Oryzias latipes: one gene and its partner. The protein of the gene in region 2 binds, or shares a complex with, the protein of the main gene of each other region. Links are inferred from orthologs where the notes say so. Each region holds a gene or a part of one and is shown on either strand. Other genes may lie near its edges.

Region 1 (11,566 bases), on a different chromosome or scaffold from region 2:
TGACTCCTCCCCCTGGGGGTCCAGGTGAGGCAGGAGCTGCAGGGCCGTGTGGAGGAGCTGAAGGCTTTCCCTGAACTGCTGGCTTCGTCCGAGCAGAGTCTCCTGGAGTGTCAGGAGAGCCTGCTGCACCTGGAGAAGAACTGCTCTGACAAGTCCCAGTTCGTTCAGAAACTTCACGTGAAGGTCTGTCGTCAGAGGATGTGCAGAAGACGCTTTCTTACATCCGAACACTAGGTGGCAGTACAAACGTGTTTGCTGTGTTCCTCACAGTTGTTGGTAAATGTAGACAATTCGGATTTTTTTTTTTCATGGATGTTCCGGTTTGTGGTTGTGTTGTGTGAGTTTGCATGTTCTTGAGTTTCTTGAAAACGTCAAATGGAAAGAAGAAAAAAACACGTTATTGCAACTAAAGAGGAAACTTTATGTATGTACTTCTAAATACTACACAGACTTGTTTGTCCCCCCAGGTAACTAAAAATGACAATGGTTGCTATGGAGATAAAACTAATAGAAAAGCCATCTTTTTTTTTAAATGATGTTTTTTCTTCAAGAATTTGTTGCATGTAGCTCCAAACCAGGGCGGCAAAGTGAGAAAAGTGTGGGAGGGGCATATAGCAGCCACTCAGGCAGTGAGGGCAGGTCAAAAGGGGGGGCAACAGGGGCAAGTTGCCCCAGTGGGCCATACATTGCTCCTCATGGTTTTAATTTTTAAATGTTTATTTGATAGGGGCATTTCACATTAAATACAATGTCTGCAAATGCACCAGATTGAGGGGAAAAAATATATATTTTGTATTATTATTATGGTATTATAAATAATATGTCTTTTAATAAAAGAATAGAAGATAAGAAGCCCCGTGTACACTTTGCTGTTTTAGATGCAACAGCTCACTAGAACTGTCAACATTTGATCTAAATGTGAACGGCGCTTTAAAAATGGCTGTAAAAATAACAAATAATAAAAATAATAATTTTTATTAAAAATCAAACAAAAGGAAAAAAATAAGTTTTGCTCAACAGGAAACTGTATTTTCTTGTCAAATATCAGACGGTTTCTGATGGTCCATTTGCTAATTAGTTGATTTTTTTTTGGAGCTCTCAGAGAAGAATTCTCATAAATAGTCACCTAAAGAGCCACAGCGCTCCCTAAAAACCTTTATGCCACAGAAGCATGAAGATGTTTCACATTCTGTCACCTCACTGCACGGTGATTTAAAAAAAAAAGGCTTCAGATAAATCTGGATCTGTGATGGAAACCTCAGGAGACAGTCAGATATCATGGTAGAGTTGAGTCTTTTGCTTTCATGTTCACAGATGGAGAGTCAAGCGAAGCAGCTGAGGTCGTCTGCAGAGATGACAGAGTCCGTTCTTCTCACCAATTCCCACCTGCAAGAGAAAGGACAGGCTTTGCAGAAGTGAGGAGCAAAGTCAGCGGAACGTTAGTCTGGATAAAACCCGGAGTTCACCGTGAGGTTGTCTCTGCAGACAGATGGACAGACTCCAGCAAGAGAACCTGGAGCTGGTACGAAGGCTGGCGTATCAGGAAGAAGCTCTGAGTTACAGCAAAGGCCAGCTGGACCAACGCTCGTCAGAGTGTCAGACTTTGAACCGGCAGCTGGAGGCGGCTCTGTCAGACGTGAGGCAGCAGGTACGCCTGAGAAGAGAGGCATCCGCCATGTTGTTCCAGCTGTTAATCCAGCAGAACCATCTAAACCTGAAAGTAAAACTTTAAAAGTGACGTTCTCACACGAGTGTCTAACATGTTCAACAACAGGTGAACGCGGTAAAAACTCTGGCTGCTTCTCGAGAGGAGGCCCTTCAGACTAAAATCCTGGAACTGGAAGCGGAGAAGAGCAGAAGGGACAACGAGCTGAGGCTTCTTCATCAGAGCAAGCTAGCTGTGAGCATCACCTACTACATCACTAAATGATTGTACGACTCTGTGTCTGAATGACAGGGCTGTGTTTCTGTGGTTTTGCTGTCCTTCTGCAGTCAGAGAGACAGTTTCAGGTGCGTCTGAAGGACCTGCAGCTCAGCCTGGACCAATCAGAGAGCCACAAACGCAGCATCCAGAACTACGTGGACTTCCTGAAGAACTCCTACAAGACCATGTTTGATGAAGGGCTGCAGGCAACCACTTTTGGATCCCTGCACTTTTTAGACTGATAAAGGTTTGCATTTTTGAATCCCAGACACATTTTATGCCCTATATGATATGAAATCAGAAGCCAGGTTTAACCTGTGGGGATGTCATCTTTGGACATAAACTGCTGTCATAGAAAATTTGATTTCTGTTTTATTAAAACGTTTTATTGCCGATAAATGTTTGCAGTTTTGGCAAACTTGGTGCTATTGTTGTTTTTTTTCTTGAGCCATTTGCACAAATGTAAACCTTTACCAAGAACAGATTTCTAATTTATTATTATTTTCTTTTTCTAAAAATTAGTAAAAATAATTTAGAATTCTGTGACATGTCTTATTATTACTGAACGGATCGTTTTTTTTTGTTTTTTTTTATGTTTAGGATGTTGTTTTTTTTTATGGGTAAAAGGTAAACTTGTTTTGTCAAACTTTACACACATTTTCAATCATTTCCTCGATAAGGTGTAAACTCTTTTACTGGGAAGTACTAACTCTGATTTAAACGTAAATGTGAAGTCGACAGAAATGACATTTGTTCAACGGAACCAAAAAAGCACGTAGAGATGATCCTGCAAAGGTTCAAACAGGAATAAAACTGGAATTATGGATTCCTGAAGGGACTGATGAACGCAAATGTTCATCAAACAGGATGGATTTACATCAATATGTGATGCAGGACTACAGCACCTATTCTATCAGACAATGCTTAATGTAAAACATTTACAGTTTACCTGCAGAAAACACTGATAAACCTTAAACATTTCACATTTGAAAAAACTACTCATCATTTTCTAGTTAAAGTACTTTAAGATTTAAAAAAAAAAAGTTCAATCTGAATTGTTTTTCTCTCCTGGCTCCAGCTCAGAGGCCTCACAAGAATAAAAGCCATGAATAACCACGCATCAGCTTTTTGAGTCTTTGTGTTTTAGAGGATTGTCTGACTTTTGACCAGCGGCGCGTTTTGAACATTCCAGTCGTAAACTCTGTCGTCGTGATCATACAGGAGGTTCAGCGTGTGCCAGATGCTTGGGCGTCTTCTCATTCTCAGCTGGATTGATGGAAAGTTAAACGTTTAGTTGATATTCAGTCCTTCAGGCTGCAATCAAATGTTTGTAAAGAACCTCTGTTGTTCAAATGTATTCATGCTGGTAAAGTTGAGGAGTTTTTCTGTGTCTTGTGTTTTTTGAAATAAACGCAGAGCAGCACTGCAGTGATTTTTCTTGTTTTGTATTTTTGCTGCATTCTTCAGAGCGTGAAATGATATTATGCTTTAATGTGTGTCAGAACCCCATTTTTACCTTCCTCTCAGGTTCTGTTGACCACTAAGGAAGCTTGAATGTATTGACAATGTGGAGTTTATTGTAATATAGTTAGAAGCTTTAAAAGAAAAAAATAATTTTTCTTAGTTCTTTTAATAAATTCAACATTTTTGCACCAGAAATGTACGGTGTTGTCCATTTTATTATCTTAAACAATACATTTCCTTGTTTTATTCAATATCTTTTCCTTGATCGTTTAAGTTTTATTAGATTGATTTGATGTTGGCTCTTGCAGGACAGTCTGAGGATGCTGCAGATTCTGATTTGCATCTTGTGAGTTAAAGTAGAAAATGTTTCTGTATTTTTGTTATGCAGCATTTTATCTTTTTTGACTAAATGCTTCTGGGTGCACTCACCAACCGCACAGCAGCAGTAAAAACCTTCAGTCATTTCAGCTTTTCTGATCATTGTAAAAAAAGAATTGTTTTTCCAAAGTAAACATTTCATATTTAGTATTTGGATTTCGTTAGAATATTAACACAAAAAGGTAAACAACATTTCAATCCAGGATGTTTTCTCTGAGGTGAGAAGACAAACCACTACACCACCATGCAGGCACATTTCAATTTTTTTCTATTTTTAAATGTAGTTAGTGTCACACAGCTTTTTGACCGATTTTGGACAATTTTACATCGATTTCTAAACATTGTCAGAGTTGCTGGGGCCTATCCCAGCCACTGTTGGGGGGAGGGGGTGTCTTGGTTCAACCTGGACTGTTCACCATCGCAAACTGTTTTTAGAAATCCATTATAATGATTATGATGATACTTTGTTTTGGACAAATACTATAAAAGGAAAAATAGGACCATATAAAAAACAAAAAGTACATGAAATATCTAAAAGGGAGTGAGAAAAAGTAGAAGCGTAATAAACCCTGTGCCCTATACACCAAATGCATTGCCACACAATGTACACCCGCCACATATGATGGACGAGTACATTTTCAGTTTCAGATACAAATATACTCGCATAGAACTACACACTTTCACTTTGTGTCTGTAAGGAGAGAGTTTCGTGTGTTTTACAGTTTGTTTTAAATTTTATTTATTATAAAAATGTTTTGCTTTTAGTTTTTAAGTAGAACATTTTTTTATTATTTGATTGATGTGTTGCACTTTGTGTTACTTATGTATGAAATGTTTGCTTTGTTAAATTAATAAAATTACATGATTAATCTTTGCGAATTTCATATGTTTAAATAACTTCAATAAAAATAGCTGTGATAATTGTCTAATTAATTGATATTTAAGATAATTGAAGCTGTCTGATGTGGCGCGGACCCACAGCGCCCCTGCGTGGACAGACTGGGAACAGCGCGTGAGCAGTTATGTGACTACAGATGGAAACAAAATTCAGCAGCACCGGAGGGGAAATCTGTTCTTCGGGGGCTTTCCCCGGTCTGTGAACGTCATACCAGGCGCATGACGAACGTTCTGGTCAGTGGCGGGAAGAGCAGATCACAGAGTGAAAGTTCCGTCTGTGCTCGGTGAACTTCTGCCTCCGGCCGCTTGACGTCGTCTAAGCTCGACTCAACCAGGAAGTCCGGACTTGCCTTTCCCCTCCGTGATTGAGGCAGAAAAGAAAAGTTGAATGAACGTCGGTTTTTGAGGCACCATGAACCCGCACGCGCTCGGGCGCTCGCGCTGATTCGGCGGCCGTGCTTTAATGGTGGTGTTCGGGAGGTTTAAGGGCCACTTTGGACGCACATCTCGGGTCGGTTGGAACACCTGGACCTTCGCCGGTGTGGGGGATGGATGCTCCTCACCTCACCGAGGATGAAATGGCAGAAATTAAGAAAGACGTGAGTACCGGAAGTGCCACTGACTTTTCGCTGATTTCGGGGTCGATGATTTTTTCTAGTGAGGTGATCGGGTTCACTGATCAGATATCCGTGACCTGCCTGAAAGAGGAAGTGGCTCGCCACACCCTCGTGCACAGTCTGTACCATGAAGTACAATGCAGTAAAAAATAGTATACTTTTGAACCAGTATACGTTCAAGTGGAATTACTGGCCTCCAGAATAAAGTAGAGAAACATCACCTGTTGCTTAGTTGTAGGTGTGAAAGTTACCTGTTCTGGCCTTGAACAGGTCACTTTGTTGACCCCCCCCCCTCCTCCTTTTGATCCGCCTTGTACAGTTGACCTGGATGACCCCGAGCCATCTTGTCTTTCTATGGTCTTAAAGGATGTACCTGTGCCTTTGTCCTTCCTGCTCTTCTGTCCAGATGTTCTCTTCATGATAATCGTGTGTCCTCTTGCGGTAGCGGTCGCTAACTTGTCTCTTAGTTTGCTTCATAAAAAGCCTTTTTCGCTTAAACATGGACGAGGGGTTGACGCTTATGGTATTGTGCGTTTTGGGGTTGTCCGGTCCGTTGGAGGTTCGTAGAGAGGAGCGGCTGTATCTGAAGAGCGCAGGTGTGTATTGCAGTTCTGTTAAAGCTCTTACGTCACCTGAAGGGACGCCATGAGAATGGATCGACCCATTGCCGTGTGTGTGGTAAGTGAATCAGTATTGGTAAGACTACAGGAAGTTGTGCAAACGTATGATGTACGGGTGATACTGACTTACGGGGCCACCACCACGCTATAGTTGTTAGTAAGTGTAAGGACTGACCCCCTTACTGAACACACGGGGCGTGCACGTGATAAGTAAGTGAACTAGGACGCCTGTAGGATGTCGCTCTAAACATTGTTCTTGAACACGCACTTTGGCCATGGCGTTCACACTGCTCTTGCAGGGAGGGGCTTCTTCTTTTTCTTTTTTCACGTTTTACTGTTGCATGTCCATCACCTACAGTTGGAAGAAGCTCGGTGTGAAATGTAGAAGGGGTGCAAATCTCACAAGTCGTGTTCCAGGCTTTTTATTTCACAACTGTATTCCGATATACGAAAGACTTGGTGTCGTAGAATTCCAGCGGGCCAGAAACCGGAATGACAAACGCTTGACATTTCCGTGAATTGAAAGGGACGCCACCCCCACGTCATGACCAAATCCGAGTCCCTGATTGGACAAAGTTTGACCTGGTTCAACTTTCAATGGCCACGCATTTTGTACGTAGAGTCCGAAAACAGTCGCAAAAACTTGAACGCGAGAGCCCGAAATGTCCATATGCGTTTCAGGCACGCGTTTACGTAGACTTTTCACTGGAAGTGGTTGTTTGAACGCCCGTTGCCGAGGGCGGTGTGAACGTAGTTTTAGGGGCTCCTTGCACAAGACTTGTGGGTGGGGTGGGGTCGAATACTTGGAAAAATCTGTACAACACGCCTGCGTCTGGCCTACTTCACCCTTATGTGTTGTTTAAGTGTTCACGAGGACCTGCCGCCCGCCGCATGCCGGTAGAAAGGAAAGCGCATGAACATTTTGGCTCTTTGGTTGACTGAGCGGTCCACGACTTTGATATTTCCCATATCCACCCATAAGGTCGGCGGTGACTAAGGCTAAAGGTGTTCTCGTGTGTCTCATTTCTTTTTGTTGCACGTAATGACTTGTCTCTTTTTTCCTCTCATAACATGTTCCAGTGTTTTTCTTCATGTTTTTACTATCACCCCATTGTTGCAGATATTATCTTGTCTGTTCTTTTTGGTTCTGTAACAAATGTTTCAATATTTTTGTCTCAGTGTTTGCCTCTTTCTTGTTAGTTCTTTGTGTTGTGTAGGATTTCTTCTATTTACATTTTCTAGAAGGGAGTCTTTTTGTGTTCAGTTTTGGAGTGTATATTTAAAAAAAAAGTTAAATTTATCTCTTGAATTATTTTAAATAAATTAGATTTATTGCAATTGGAGTAACTTATCAGTTTGCCATTGGTTATAGGCTGGGTCATTACAAATACACCAAATTGTCTGGATTTTCCAGGTTCTGACCAGACTGCGACACTACCTCTGTGACAAGATCAGAGCGGATCGCCACCTGGATTACCTGCGCTCTCGCCGCATCTTGACCCGGGACGATGCCGAGGAGATCAGCTGCAGGACCACGCAGACGAAGAGAACGGCCACGCTGCTGGACATCCTGGCTGAGAACCCGCGCGGCCTGGACGCCTTGGTGGACTCCATCCGAGAACTGCGCTCGCAAAACTTCATCATCGCCAAGATCACGGACGAGGTGCAAAAAGCCAAAAATGAAAAGCTGGAGTCTCTGAAAGGTAAAAGCAGGTCCTAGGACGACCTTCTATTTTTCCTCTGTTGGGTTTTCCTGATTGTTTCTCTATTTTTCCCATCATCCCCCCTCCCCTTCAGCTGCTGGAGCCTTTGGTTCATCATCTGACGGCGCCTTCAGCACACCCAGCAACCCGGGGGACCTCCCCACCACATTTTCAAACAGCTCCACTCTCATGTACCACCCGGATAGTGAGCACAGCCCCTCCACCTCCGACATGGGAAGCTCTCTGAATCTGCCGTCGTTGCAGAAGTCTGGAGACTCCACCTCTGGCGCTAGCATCGGCACAGCTTCCTCCACGTCCTCGTCCAACCTTCCTAAGCCAGGAGACCCCGGAGCTCCGCCTCTTCCGGACGAAGTGGAGGTGGAGTCCCCGTCTAACATAGACTCAGCAGCACAGGGGTGCAGCAGCAGTGGGGGAGACCCGAACTTCCAGCCGCTTCGGTCCCGTTCCCTCACCCCAACGTCTCACCGGAGCATCTTTTAACCTGAAAGGACCTGCTGATGGAACCTCGCATCGCTTCTCTGTATTTGACCCGAATTCTGCACATTTGGGTGCGTTTGCAGTCAGCGTCCTGCAGGACAAGGGCAGGACGCTGACGCACAGGTACCCACAGTTCTAAATATATGTGAAGGTTTTAAACGAATTAAGGGGCATTTTGGTTTAGATGTTTGTGGTCGCGCTGTCGACTTGTGAATTTGTTTTTGACCAGCATCTTCATCGTTTCTTTAGTCTTAAAAGTTTTCTGGATCCGTTTGAAAACTGTTTCAGGACAACTGACTTTAAGGAAACACCGGATCTGAACGGAGACCACCCGTTAGTTTACGTCCGTACCCCGATCCTTTTTTGATCCAGTTGCAAAGCGTGGTTTTCTAATTATGTGGTTTTCTAATTATGCCGTTTTTAGCCAAAATGAAAACATTTGTGTCGTGTTCTAGGACTTATTTGGTCCAGAGCATCCCTGCCCCCCCCCCCCCCCCTTTCACCCATGGCTCAGAACGCTCAGCTAGCTGTCCTGCTAGCTTACAGCCCCTCCCACCCCTAACCTAATATTACCGGTGCAATGAAAATGGTGAGCAGTATCGTAGCTATCCAGCCGTACAGTTTAGATCCAGATTCCAGCTCAGACGAGGAAAACAAAGACCTTCATGGATCCGTTTGTCTGACAGTGGATGTATCAGAAAGGGGCGGAGCAGGGAGCTTGTGGCCCCGCCCCAGCGTATTGTCTACATCACAGATACAATCTTTTCTCAGATGGGGTTTGTTGTCTACTCCCGATTCATGATTTGAATAAAGAAATACTCAGAAATGCGTTTTTAAGCTTAATTTTCTTCATAGATGTCCTTTTATCTCAAAAAAGAAATGCAACAAGAAGATGTTAAAAACACAATTTTCATCTGAGCGGGCCTTTCGATAGAAATGACAAAAGACAGAATATAAAACTAACCAGAAATCACTGAAATTCCTCTTTAGAAGTTGACCAGAATTGAAGATGCTGTAAAAATGCCTGTAAAGCCGTGCTGCAGCACTTCTGCCGCTCCACACAGTCTCTGTTTCAGGTGTCGTCGTCGTCCTTCTTTTCATAGCAACAGCCTCTAAACGGATTTGTAGTGATTTGTGACTCCAAGCCTGGAGTCAAAAAAACTGAACTGATCCAATAGAAGTGGAGAAAAAGTTCTTTTCTTTTTTTTTTGGGAACAAACTCCTCATTGAGATTTGACTCCTAACATCTGAAGCCAGAGAGGGTAGAGTGTTGGGGAGACAAAAAATACATCGATGTATTCAAGTCCTACTGGATCTGGAGGTCAGGAATCTCTGACCGCTAACCTCTGAAGGTTTAAGGAGTTCTTCTTCACGGAGGAGGAGAAAACATGGCGGCCTCACTTCTGCTTCTGCGCGGAGAGACGGTCACCACGACAAACGAGGGAGGGGCTTTTTAACCTGCTTTTTCTGTTGCATCAAGAATCTCCTTCACCTTTTTCTTCACTACAAGAACTGAACACAAACATGTACGAAGCTCTAAACTGTACTCTAAAGTGTACACAGTGACCCGAGCACAATAAAGTTTTTTTTATGCAAATTCAGCTGTGTGTGTTTGTGTTTTATTAGTGTGCTTGTGCTAGAGCAGCCGAAGAAATAAACATCCAAAAAGACTAAGTTCATTTTACTAGTTGAATGCTATAAATCCTCCAACCCATCGTTTTCCTGTTTCTCTTTCTTTATTTAATTTTTGCCGCTTAACTCCTTCAAATTTTCAGCTATTTTAACCATTCAACTATCAACATTTTCAGCTTTTTCCAGCTATGACTTTCCGGTCCTTCAAATCCTTGAATGTTTCTGCCTCCATTGAAATCCATGGGGAATCCTTGGTGCAGAAGCTCGCTGGTTCCATACCCGGCTCTGGCATTTTTCACAAAAAATCTTTTCTGTTTTCTGTTATTGTGCTGTTTTCACTTTATTTATGGTCAACTTGGATCATTTGTTTTTTTATTTTTTGCCAATTATTACCCTGTAAGTTTCATTTTCATTCAGCAATATAGCATTCAAGCCTGCATTTTCTTCTGGAAATGCAGCTCCTTCTAGCTCAAGTGAATTTAAATTTCCAGACTTTTTCCAATATTTTGTTGCTTCTTACCCCGTAATAATCCAGACCCAGGAAGAGGCCTCCGTCCTGCATGGAGTTCTTATTTTAAAGAAGCAGATATCGAAGCTGGCTTCCTTTTTTTTTGTTTTGGAAAAACTGGAAAAACTTCAAATGACACAGAGGAATGACAGTCATTGTGGCGAGGGCTGCTGGCCTGACTCACGCTGCCACCTGGTCCTCATAATCTGCTCTGGACTCCTGGATTACAGGGCTGTAGATCGCTGCTTCACAACAGCTATTCGCAGGTAAACCACTTTTACTCCTTTATGATCATAAATTGTGTCGACAGTAGTTTGTGTTGTTAAAAGTAGTTTAAAACAATAGAAACAAATCCTTGTGTGGAATAAAATCCCATTTGGTTAGAAAGGACTCAAGATTTATATTTTTTATCTGTGGAAATGATGTTAATGACACCAAAAACAGCCCATTTAAGAGCATGATTTAATTCAGAATGAAAAGATTTACTTGTGTTTTCTTAACTTTAACTCCACAGCTCTGATTTTTTTTTTAAATATTTTTTGAAACTAAAATTAGCAGAAAAACATTAATAGCAAACGCAGCAAACAGAATGTATTTCAGAACCTTATAGCTTTTATTAATAATTTTGCATAATTTTTGGAATAAGATTGAACCAGTAAAAGGAGGGAGAGAACGAGTTAGTGGAAGAACCAGTTTGATAAACATCAGAATGACTGGAATGGCTGAACTCTTGCTGTTGGTTATGAAAACGTCTGATCTGCAGCGAACGTTTGGCTGTTTGCTCTCGATGGAGGAGTCTGAACCCCTGCTGGCCGCTGCGGCACAGCCCAGGCGGGTGATCGGACACGCCGCATGGAGCGGCCCCTTTCCTGAGTCGACGGTGGTGGAAGATTTCAGGCGTAGGCTCAAGTATTACTTCATGAACCCCTGTCAGAAGTACAGAGCCAGAGGGCGAAAGCCCTGGAAACTGATGCTGCAAATATTGAAAATTGCAATCATCACAGTCCAGGTGGGTTGTGGTTTCATGGGAGACGTGTTTGCGTTCTCCAAATGTCTGCTTTATGCTCTGTTTTCTGTGCTTTTTTGTTTTCCAAAACAGCTGGTGTCTTTCGGTCTGAGTAATGAAATGATGGTCACATTCAAAGAGGAAAACCTCATGACCTTCAGACATCTGTTCCTCAAAGGATACAAAGACAACTGGCAGGGAAGCCACGCTATTTACTCCCAAGCTGATCTGTACGACCACATCTACTATCTGATCTCCAGGGTAGTAGAAATTCAAAACAAACTCAGAGAACTTGTCGTTTTGTTAAAATGTTAAAACG
Region 2 (11,704 bases):
GTCAGCATTTACGCCGCACTCTTCAGAGGACCAGACTGCCTTCGTCACATGCTCTCACAGGGGGACTGACCCGTATGTTGACCCGTGGAGGGTCGTAGAGAGGAGCGGCTACCTCTTAAGGGGAGCGCAGGTGAGTCTTTCAATTCCTTTAAGGCTCGTACGACCACCTCAAGGGCCGTCATGAAAATGGAACGTACCATTGCCGTGTTTGTAGTAAGTGTATCGTGAAGTATTGGTAAGGACGTTCCACGCATATGGCGTTCGGGTGATGCGGCCGTAGGCCGTCCTTACGCTTTTACGCTTCACTCTAGTGATTAGTGAGGCGTGAGTTCTGGCTCCTTAGTGATCGCGCACAAATGCTGCACTCACAGGGTGTGGATGCGATACTTAAGTGTCCGTAGGACGGCAGTGGGTTGTCCACGCAAACGACACTATGATTGCCTGGTTTCCTCATTTCCAAAGCCAAGTTCACACCGGCCCCAGAAACACGTGTTCAAGTGACCGCTTCCAATGAAAAATCCAAGTATATGCGTGTAAATGCACGTTTCGGACTTCCGAGTTCGAAACTCTTGCGTTCACGTGTCGCTATGCACAGTTTTAGGTCAGTTTTTTGGCTCTACGTGCATCAAATTGTACTTAAAGCCTTTTTTACTCTAAAGATTTGTTAACACTGGCCTCCGCAACGCGAAAAGTCTATGTAAATGCACGTATGTGCGAATGTTACAGTTTTTAAGCGTTCATGTGTTGCTACTCAAGTTACTACGATCGTTTGAGGTCTCTCCGGACGAAACATGCATTGAAAGTTAAACCAGGTCAAACTTTGACCAATCAGGGACTCTAGTGATGTATGGATTCACAAAAGTGCAAAACCTTTTAAAAAAGCTCTGGAGTAAGGCTGTGAAAGAAAACGCCTGGAGCAAGATCCACCAGAAAGTACCCAGTACAAGGTACATGTACCTAGAACTGGGTAGTAGGTAGATGTGCTAGTACCCAGTACCAGGTACATGTACCTTGTACATGTGCTACTACCCAGTTCTAGGTATAGGTAACTTGTACTGGGCACTAAGTACATGTGCTAGTACCCAGTACCAGGTACATGTGCTAGTACCCAGTACTATGCGACAGTCCAGTGTGATCACCGTAAGCTAATAGCGTGAACACAGGTTCTTGAACGCATAAACCTGGTTGCATAAATGAATAAAAAATGTGCATGAACATCTTTTTCTACGGGTTCACTGAGCGGTTGACCACCTTGACATATGTCGCGGGTCACCTGCATGCCCCGTACGGGTTTGCCCCCCACAGACAGCCCGTATCCACCCGTAAGGACAGCTGAGACTTTGAACTTTGTCTTTTCTTTGGCGGTAACGGTTGGTTTGAGCGTCTCATACAAACTTAAGTTGAAGTCCAGAAAGGACCCACCTCTTCCTGCACATGTCCAGCAGGAAGACATTCAGGCCCGTTTCCTTCTCCTGCATCAGTTTGAGGACGCTCTGCACACATAAACAGTTGGCCGAGTGGTAGGGGTTTGGGGCATCCACCGGCACCATGAAACTGTTCCCGTAGTTCTCGTAACCGTGACCGGCGTAGTACAGCAGACCTGAACAGGGATGGAGCGCCATGACACCAAGGTCCAACAAACTTTTTGTTTCCACAATCTCATTTACAGTTTTTCATTCTCTTAAACATTTTCCAGCCACATCAGTTAAAATAAGTGATAACGGTGAGGAAGAAATAAAAGAATGAAGATGAAATGTCTTTGAAAGTACCGTAGACGCCTTTGTGAAGCAGCAGCAGGAACTCGTCGACGGCGTTTCTCATCTCCGACTCCGTGAGGTCCAGCAGCGACACGACCTTAAAGTTCAGCTGCCGGAGGAGGTTGGTGAGCTCGTACACGTCCACCATGGGGGCTTTGAGCTGCGGGTGGTTCTGGTACGACAGGTTGCCGATCAGCAGCGCCACTTTGTCGGTTGCTGGGATTCAATATCAGACAGACGGTCGTTAGGGTGATGAAAATCTATTTTATATTCCCAAAAAACGGGCGGGAAACTGAAGCACGCTGTGGTTGGCGAGTCCAAAGGAGCTCCGCCCATCTTTTTAAACCCCTGTCTGAATGGAATTTTTTGTAGTTGAAGAAAAAGTAGAAACTTTGTCTAAAAATGGAATCCCTTCAATTAAAGTTATTGACAACATAGAGGTATGAAAAACAGATGTTTGTGTATTTCTCCCTTACGTACACATCAAAGTCAAATGCAAAAAACAATAATCCTCTAATAATCAATTTAAACCTTTTACTAATCGCTGCGTTTAAATCCCACTAAAGCCCGTTGACACGACTGTGTTGTGATAATAAATAAAACTGCATTGAACTGAACACGTGACCGTGGTATAGGCAGGATAATGCCTGGCGAGGTGACCATTCTTTTCTGATGATGGAAACCTCGTCAGGCATTTACATATACGGAAAAACAATGAAATGATTATACAATCAAATAAGATATGATGAGAGGAAGGATCACACTGAGGACAATCAGGCGGTCCGGTCCAGTTTAAAACAGGCCAGGCTATTCAGGTGAACCTTTCCATGGTGCTTTCTGTTATCGAAATGACCCTCAGCCAATCAAATCAAATCAAATCAAACTTTATTCGTCTAGCACTTTTACGACGCGAGCTACTCAAACAGGTTTTAACAGTAGCTCCGCCCTAACCGGTCCTCTTTATAATGGAAACGCTCAAAATACTGGACCGATCTGAACCGCTCTGTGGAAACGACCCATGTCCGACCAATGATGTCATCGCGGTCCTCAACCTGTAGCCTCTGGGGTCTGGATTCTGCAGGCTCACTTCCTGTCATGAGAAAATGTGACCAGGAAGAAGCTCAAAGAGACTCACCGTAAAGTTTCTCTGGAAGACTGTTCAGGAAATATTCACCGGACACTAAAACAAAACACAGAACCAGGGTCACAATCCAACCGGCCAAAGCAGCGAGTCCGATGAGACTCCAGACGTTCCAAGCATTCAACACTAAACGGGGGAGAATCAGAGGCCAACGGATCAGAATGTTCATGCAACTACAGATTACAGCAAAAACAGAAACATAAAGTTTGGTTTTTTGAATTTATTTCATGCAAAACCCATGAAAAGATAAAAAGGAGCCTCGCAAAAACCCATCAGCAGACGTCGAAGGGACGCCAAACATCTCAGGCGACGCCGTAAAGTAAATCCCTGCAGACCTTAACGTTCAAAAGACAAATGTTAGTGATCAAAGCATCAGAGTCTTTAAGCTGCACGACTTTGAAACCAGAATTGAACGAACGCTAAAATGAGAACGTGCAGCCCAAGACACGATCAAGTCTCCCGTTTAACGTTTCTTTCTTTGACGACCACACTTTACAGATTCATATTTTATATTTTCATGGGTTCTGTCGTCTCTTAGAAAAGACAAAAAACACAGAAATCCTGAGTGTTCATCAAAGCCCACAATATTAGTCCCTTCAGAATCTACAAACAACCCACAGAAAGGCTGGCTTGGGTTAATTTCCCATAATCCTCAGCAGTAGTGACATCAGCATGCAGGCAGCTCTCCACTCTACCTTCAGAGACCTCCTCTGGCTCTGAAACCTTCACCGAAATCCTCGGCGCTTTCAATCAAGAGCAGAAGCAAATGAGAACTGTGCAGACGTTCGGAAAACCTGCTGTCCTTGAAGGCATCAGGAAACGGCGCCCTACGTACCGATGGAGACGTCCACCTCGTTGGTCCACATCCTCTCTCTGCTGCTGCTGATCTCGCAGCGGTACCTGCCGGCGTGATCCGGCGCCACGTGAGGGATCTGGAACGACGCCGTCTGGTTAAACTACAGCCGAGGAATCTGATCGACTCGGAAGAGGAGACGGGAAAAGGTCACCGAGAGCTTTCGCTTGGTGGCGTTCGGGACCGGGACTCCGTTCCGGTGCCACTGGTATCGAGGGATGGGCCGCCCCACGGCGCCACACTCCAGCTGCAGGCTCTCCCCGGCGTGCAGCGTCTGCGACTGCGGCTGGACCACCAGCTTCAACCGTCCGTCCAGGGAGTGGTAGCTCTGCCCTGGAGGAGGCGGAGCAGAGGGGAAGTTCGGTTCTGAGCCAATTTTCCTCTCATAGAAAAAAAACTGTTTTACCAAAAGGTAAGAAATGCAAACCCCTAACTACTAAAAAACTATCTAGTGCCCTGAATTTTAAAAGCAATTCTGACACCACGCTCGCTAATTTGTTCTTTAAGGACGGAAAGGACATCATCGATTTTAGGACTTTCAAATCAAATTGATATCAGTGTTTTGCGATGATTATTTATGAGTCTGATAAAAATGTTGATGATTTATTAAAAAAAATACATTTAATGATACTTTTTGGGGAAAAAATTGTTTCGACGCAATGCATTGTGGTCTATTTTCACAGATCTGGTGAGCATCGATGCACACTGGTTTTTTGCAGAGACTTCTGGGAAATTTCTAGGGCTCTGGATTTTGGAATTGTAGATTTGGAAAATGAACAACGCCCTATAGAGTGAAGTAGGGAGGAATTCCGACACAACCATAAATAATCGTCACAAAACACTCATATCAGTTAGGTTTAAACCTTTTGAAATCGATGATGTCATATCTGCCATTTATAAAAAATAACACGTAGTGAGCGTGGTGTCCCAATAGCTTTTAAAATCCAGGGCACTACATGGTGTTTTTAGTATTTAGGGTGGGAATTCGGACACAACCACAGTGAATCACAAAGTGAGGGGGGCGGGGGGCTTTAAGGTGAATTCCTCAGAAATGAAACCCTAAGTCTGACCGTAAGACACCCCGACGTTCAGGACGTCCACCTGAGCCCACTGGCTGAATTCACAGGCGCCCTCGCCGTTCACCCTGCAGATGTAGAAGCCGGCGTCCTTCAGCTGGACGGAGCTGATCAGCAGGTCAGGAGAGCAGCTGCCAGGAACCTGAGGTGGAGACGCAAGAAATGTCTGCAGCCTGTCATCCACACACGGACGCAGGAAAACCGGGAGAAGTCCGGAACCGTGTGTGTGGTAGCAAACCTCCTCTCGGGACTTGAACCACTGGTACTGCACGTCAGATTTCCCCACGGCGAGGCAGCTGAGGCGAAGGTTGTGTCCAACCAGCAGAGCCACGGACTGAGGCTGCAGGAGGATCTGCAGGGCTGAGGGGGCGGAGAACGTGGCGGGTCAGAAGAACCGCAAAACTTTCTGCAGGCGTGTGCATCTGCAGGTGTGGGTTTCTGCAGTTGTGTGTATTGGTGTGTGTTTCTGCAAGTGTGTTTCTGCAGCTGTGTTTCTGCAGGTGTGTGTTTTTGCAGGTGTGTGTTTGTGCAGGTGTGTTTGTGCAGGTGTGTGTTTTTGCAGGTGTGTGTTTTTGCAGGTGTGTTTGTGCAGGGGTGTTTGTGCAGGTGTGTGTTTGTGCAGGTGTGTGTTTCTGCAGGTGTGTGTTTTTGCAGGTGTGTTTTTGCAGGTGTGTTTGTGCAGTTATATTTGTGCAGGTGTGTTTCTGCAGGTGTGTGTTTTTGCAGGTGGGTTTTTGCAGGTGTGTTTGTGCAGGTGTGTGTTTCTGCAGGTGTGTGTTTTTGCATGTGTCTTTGTGCAGGTGTGTTTTTGCATGCGTGTGTTTTTGCAGGTGTGTGTTTCTGCAGGTGTGTGTTTTTGCAAGTGTGTTTTTGCAGGTGTGTTTTTGCAGGCGTGTGTTTCTTCAGGTGTGTGTTTGTGCAGGTGTGTGTTTTTGCAGGTGTGTTTGTGCAGGTGTGTTTTTGCAAGTGTGTGTTTCTGCAGGTGTGTGTGTGCAGGTGTGTTTTTGCAGGTGTGTATAGGTGTGTGTTTCTGCAAGTGTGTTTCTGCAGGTGTGTGTTTCTGCAGGTGTGTGTTTTTACAGGTGTGTGTTTCTTTAGGTGTATGTTTTAGCAGGTGCGTGTTTTGCAGGTGTGTATTTCTCCAGGTGTGTGCAGGTGTGTTTTTGCAGGTGTGTATAGGTGTGTGTTTCTGCAGGTGTGTGTATGACTCATGTTTGACAGAATAATTCAACATCAGAAAGGTCTGAATTCCAGCTAAGCACGTGAGTGACAGCAGACAACCTTGTGGTTTCAGACACTGCAGGGCTTCCGTGTTCCCCAGAGTCTGCAGGTAGTCGCTCAGATGACCCACGGTGCAGCCTCGATCTCCCATCAGCCTCAGCAGCATGAGGCTGGGGCTCCCTCCCACCTCCAGGACCCTCAGGGAGCACATCTCCATGTGGTCGGAGCTGCAGGAGAAAGAACGCAAACGTGTAGAACCACAAAACATGGCGCTGTTCTCCTTTGTTAAAGGCTTTTCAGAACTTGGTAGGACTTTCCTGAACTTTTTCAGGACCCAAAGCCTCAAAGTTTGTCTGTTAACCCGAGAACGGAAGACGATGCGTGAACGTACCTGACTTCAAAGCGTCTGTCGTTGTTGACGATCTCCCCGAGCCGTCTCCATCCTCTGACGCTTGATTTGTCCAGAACTTCGCAAAGTTTCCTCAGAACAGTTTCTTTCAGAGAGGAGATCTTTGTAGATCTGTCCCAGGCGTCGGACATGGTGGTTCTTCCCCACCGGCCTTTTCTCCGCGCCGGCGACCGTGAACAACAACCACCGCCGGCCGCGAGAACGACAACTTCCTTGAAATTCAGACATACAGAGACACGCCCACTCCACCTTAGGTTTCCCCGGCTGCTCTTTGCCAAAGATCCTCTATGTGTAAAGATGCATTACTCTATGGATAAAAACCCAAAATAAACCCATGTCCTGATGCAAAAATGTTATAAATATCAGATGTTCAAATAAAAAACAACAAAGTAACTAAAATAAAAAAACACGAGACCCAAAATTAATAACTGTAAACTTATGTGTGTCACAAGATAACATGGATGGAGTGTGTCTTCATAATACATATACAATCTTTTGTCTTCAGTTAGATTGGGTAGTTTTGTTGTGACGTAGACAGTCTCCGCCTCCATTACGTCATTTTCATGCGTTCATTTGTTATAGCATCAGTCAAAGGTTTTAGCCGAAAGTCCGTCAACAACAGAACAGTTTTTGTTAGTTTATTTTTTTAAATTATTTAAACATAATCATTACAAAACTCTAACAGACACAACCACGCAAAAATGCAAGTCACAGCTCTTCACAAAAACAAAGATAAAAAACTATAACAAAACAAGAATGTACACATATATAAAAAATATAAAAAACTTTCAGCATAAATTAAAATACAAGGCAAACAACAATCTGGACCCTAGATTTGTAACCATTCTGTAGCAGATTTACAAATGTCATCAATGAATGGATTTGAGTTGGGAATACATTTCAATGATGATAAAAACAGTCTGACTTCATTTTTAAAACACAGGAAATTCAGACGATCTTTTCTCCACTTTTCTTATGAATATGATATTTTCCCAAAATCAGGAGGATGTTCACTAATTTTGTTGTCTCTTTTGGCAACTTACTGTCATAAAACAAAATATATTTTTCTGTGAATTGTATGTTTTAAATTTCTTGACTAAGCCAGTTATGGAAATCTTGCCAGAATCTTTATGATCACTGGACATGAAAAAAACAGCTGTTTGGTTGTTTCTGGGGCTCGTGACAGAAATCACACGGATCAACCTCAAAGCCAAATCCACTCCTCAACGTCTCTGCCGATGGGTAATAATTGTCTATGATTTTGAAACACGTTTCTTGAATTTTGGGGACCATTGGCCATTTTATGAATTTCCATAGTTTAGAACCTGATGTGACAGGTGTCTCAGTTATTTTATATTTCACTTTTTTATTAAAGTCATGGTACAATTTACCTTTAAAGGATTTGTTTAGGTATTTATTATCATTTATTATCATTTTTTTCACTTAGTTTTATTTCTCCTATTACTAAATTTGGTAGTTTAATTTGAACATAGGAAGACAATTTTGTATTTTTTATTACGTGTATTAAAGCAATTGGAATTGCTCTGCAGGTTTTCTAATATTCCTTGGTTTTGCATTCAATATCATATTTACTTTTGAAGTCTCTTAACTGAAGAATTTCTCCATTTAAATCAAGAATATCACTTACAGAAATGATCTTGTGGTCAAACCAATTCTGATGAAACATTGTCTTCCTGTTTATGGTCATTACTCTGTTGTTCCACAGGGGGGCGCAGTGGGGGTGAAATTGTGACTAAATATCATTTTCCAGTGGAAAAGTACTTTGTGAAATTCTGAAATCTTTATAGGAAGTTTGGAAATTTCAAAGTCACATCTCAGCAAAAAATCTAATCCACCTACTTTTTTGAAGATGTTTTTGGGAACATGAAACCATATTGAGTCAGGATTAGCCATAAAGTCTTTAACCATTTTATTCTAAAGGTTCCAACCACTGATTGCGTCTTTATACCTCTCAAAAATTAATTTTTTAATTTTTATTTTCGAATTAATTTTCTTTTACATTCTTTGGGGTAATGTAGGGAGATTGGCATGGATATATTAAATTTGAAGTTCCTTCTGATTTGCACAACAGATTTCTTCCAAAAATGGTTAAATCTCTGATTAACCAATGATTTAATGATTTTTGCATTTGGTTTATTTTTTCCATCATGTTTTTTTCTTCTCTTTCTTTTTCATCTCTAATTAATTTAATTCCTAAATATTTCACTTCATGTTTTCACAAGAGAACAGGGGGAGTAATTCAGATTTTTGTAAGTTTAGTCGAAGACCAGAAGCTCTTGAGAAAATGGAAATAATGTGCAGGGCTTTCGTTACCGTGTTTTTGTCTTTTAGAAAAAATACGGTGTCATCTGCAAACTGGCTAAGGCGAAACTCAAAATCAAAAACTTTAATGCTTTGAATTTATTTTAATTTAATGTTCCTAACCAAATATCTGAGATTGTTGTAAAGTATTTCTCTGTCATTTTTCCGCTTTGCTTCCATAAAAGATAATAAAATGTAGAAATTAGTGAGTTTTATTTGTTTTTTTCAATAATCATAACAAAAACGTTTTTTATTATTATTATTAATTATTATTATTATTATTATTGTATTATTATTTAAAACATTTTTTAATAATAATGTAATTTTTTAGTCATTCTTTTTAATAATGACTATACATATATTTTATTTTAAACCAATAATCACATAAAAATGATTAATAATAATGTTTTTGTGTGAACCTTAACCTCAAAATGTTTAGCTTCCATACATTTCCTTTATACTCTGCATCAGACTGTAGTGTCAACTTTCACACAAAGATGTTTCATTTGTTTCTCATGTTGTGTCATCTGTAATGACCACAGCTCCTTGTCTTAAGTGCAAACACTGGAGAGAGTGAAGACCCGGTTTCATCATCTCAGTTTGACCCGTTTCCCAGGTGCTGCTGTCACTTCTGGTTTCATAACACAACATTTGAATCAAACAATGTTTGAGGTCAGCGTGGATCCTGAGTTGGGTTTGTTTTGCATTAAACTTAAAGGCTGCGTCACACGGTCACTACGTACATTTGGCGCATTTTCCATGTCTGAAATTTTGCTCTTTGTTGTTACCTGCGTGATATATATCCATGTGTGTCTTGCGTCCGTCATTCATCATTTACGTGTTCTTTGCGTGGTAATTTCATACTTCTTCTGTGGTTTTAACGACGTTCATTTCTGATACATCTGTGAAAATGTAAAGACCATAACTTATTTTCACTTTTTCCACGTATATTTATCCAATCCAATCAGTGCAACACGCGCAGAATGTGCGTAGAGGCCGTGCGACACGGTCTGGTAAGAAAAATCTACACTGCAAAAACGAAATCTTGAGAAATTAAAAAGACCCTCGTTTCTAGAAAAAATGTTTAATTATGTTTAGCAAGAAAAATTTAAATTAATCAAGAAAATTTTCAGCTGCAAAATAACCTTAGTGTAAGAAAACATAGTGAGTAGAAGGTTTCTTCGTAGACCATTTCTCTTTCCCCATTCACAGTTATTTTTGCTTATTTACAGAGACTTTTTATTTTTTTCCAGAATGTTTTACTTATTTCTACAGGGACTGTTTTGCAGGGTAGAATAAGACAACTTTTCCTCAGCTCCCTTCTTACCCAAAATAGTTATTTATTTACTTGGCAAGAAAGAAAATGTAACCTTTTTCTGACCTAGTTTTGCATCTGCAATTACAAAGACAGGATTGTGAGTCAGCGAATCAGTTTGATTCCTTTTTCCTCTTGCCTGAAAGCAGCTTAGCTAAACTTGATGCTTATTCCCTTTACATCTACATGAAATGAAAAAACAAGAATGAACCCAGACGACACATTTATGTAGAAACAAAAAGTTTAAACGGAGTCTTTGTCTCTGTCCCTTTTCAGAAACGACGGCGTTCTAAGAATCGACCTCTGCCCTGCAGCAGAGACGTGGAAAACTACGGCGTTTTCAGTTCTCGCTGAGCGGAGCTCCACAAACCTCATTAACACAACACCTGACAGGGGAGCTTGGGTGTTTTACAGACACGTCCAAAAGGTTTTCCTCACTGAATGGAAATATACTGACAGTATGACGGCAGGATCGTTGCCAGGTTCAGGGGGGGCACTAACTTTATTAAGCAAAAAGTTACAAAAACCTGATAAAGTTACAAAAAATGAGATACAACTGCAAAAAGGTTGATTCATGATTTTTGCGACACAGTTTTGAAAATTTTGATGAATTTCTTGATTCATAAACAGCTGCGTTGCCATGTTTGATTGCATAATCTCCCCGGGGGCTGTGCTTCCTGGTCTCCATGGAGATGAGGAACACTCCGAACATCTTCCTCTGTCAGGCAGCCGTCCTCACCTGGATGATGAAGACGTCCACCATCATCCCTAAGGACGCCAGAGTAACTTTCAGCGCGTGATTAATGAACGCCCGTTCTGTATGTAGAGCTCACGACCGGACTTAAGACCTCGCGTAGCGATAGTGAACACGGGGCTTCTGGACGCGCGTTAACTCAGTCTAAGTCTATGCTTGAACGCGAGTCGACGTGGCCGGTGTGAATGCAGCCTTCTGACCGCGGAAGCCCAAAACACGTGTGTGACTGTAAAAGCGCTTTGTCCTTGTTGGTAGAAAAGTGCTATACAAGTATACGCCATTTACCTGAATCTACCAACAATGACGGTTCAGGTGTTACAAGATGACTCAGCAGCACATCAAGATCTTGAGATGGTTCTGGAAACCATGGCAACCAAAAGACAAAGATTTGAACTTGGTGTTTTTATTCTGAAGAGATTTCAGGAACATTCAGTTTTACTCTTTACATCATGGTCGCATAAATACTTTTACTTTCATTCCTTTTACTGTTTTTTTTGCTTTGATTTGATTGGTTGAATGCTTTATAGCATCAACCAATCAATGGTTGGTTGATGCTATAAATCCTTCAACCATTGTTTTCCTGTTTCTCTGTCTTTATTCTAGCATCTTCCTCCATTTTTTGCCGCTTTACTCCTCCTACAATTTTTCATCTATTTCAACCATTCAACTATTCAAATGTTCATCTCTTTCATCTTTTTCCAGCTGTGACTTTTGGTTCTTCAAATCCTTGAACTTTTCCAGATATTCCAGGATTTTTTTCCTCCATTTAAATAAATGGGGAATCCTTGGTGCAGAAGCTCGCTGGTTTGATACCCGGCTCTGGTATTTTTCACAAACATATCTTTTTGGTTATTGG

What was found.
Region 1: the proteins of mucosa-associated lymphoid tissue lymphoma translocation protein 1-like (region 2) and bcl10 are in contact, whole or in part, in a cryo-EM structure (PDB 6GK2), measured with the Homo sapiens proteins. The link is inferred for Oryzias latipes from reciprocal best matches to the Homo sapiens genes MALT1 and BCL10. Residues at the interface, in NP_006776.1 of Homo sapiens: Asp46, Gln47, Ala48, Pro49, Trp54, Arg55, Leu74, Glu75, Ser78, Leu79, Val81, Leu82, Glu83, Pro84, Glu85, Gly86, Pro88; in NP_003912.1 of Homo sapiens: Leu13, Lys17, Val83, Arg87, Asn93, Gln97, Thr100, Leu104, Arg107, Asn108, Leu111.

Annotation. Positions count from the first base shown.
Region 1 is NC_019875.2:28,861,544-28,873,109, reverse strand, and holds bcl10 (B-cell lymphoma/leukemia 10), read left to right. Parts: upstream 1-4,787; 5' UTR 4,788-5,211; coding exon 5,212-5,262; intron 5,263-7,314; coding exon 7,315-7,603; intron 7,604-7,697; coding exon 7,698-8,104; 3' UTR 8,105-9,702; downstream 9,703-11,566. Other genes in the region: outer dense fiber protein 2, read left to right, coding at 25-183, 1,315-1,415, 1,486-1,648, 1,775-1,900, 1,993-2,166; mucolipin-3, read left to right, coding at 11,029-11,250, 11,341-11,508. UniProt on the Homo sapiens protein: Plays a key role in both adaptive and innate immune signaling by bridging CARD domain-containing proteins to immune activation.
Region 2 is NC_019867.2:1,789,167-1,800,870, forward strand, and holds the start of mucosa-associated lymphoid tissue lymphoma translocation protein 1-like, read right to left. Parts: upstream 6,699-11,704; 5' UTR 6,589-6,698; coding exon 6,440-6,588; intron 6,276-6,439; coding exon 6,109-6,275; intron 5,188-6,108; coding exon 5,066-5,187; intron 4,970-5,065; coding exon 4,822-4,969; intron 4,085-4,821; coding exon 3,906-4,084; intron 3,831-3,905; coding exon 3,734-3,830; intron 3,642-3,733; coding exon 3,594-3,641; intron 2,938-3,593; coding exon 2,893-2,937; intron 1,974-2,892; coding exon 1,770-1,973; intron 1,601-1,769; coding exon 1,423-1,600; intron 1-1,422. UniProt on the Homo sapiens protein: Protease that enhances BCL10-induced activation: acts via formation of CBM complexes that channel adaptive and innate immune signaling downstream of CARD domain-containing proteins (CARD9, CARD11 and CARD14) to activate NF-kappa-B and MAP kinase p38 pathways which stimulate expression of genes encoding pro-inflammatory cytokines and chemokines.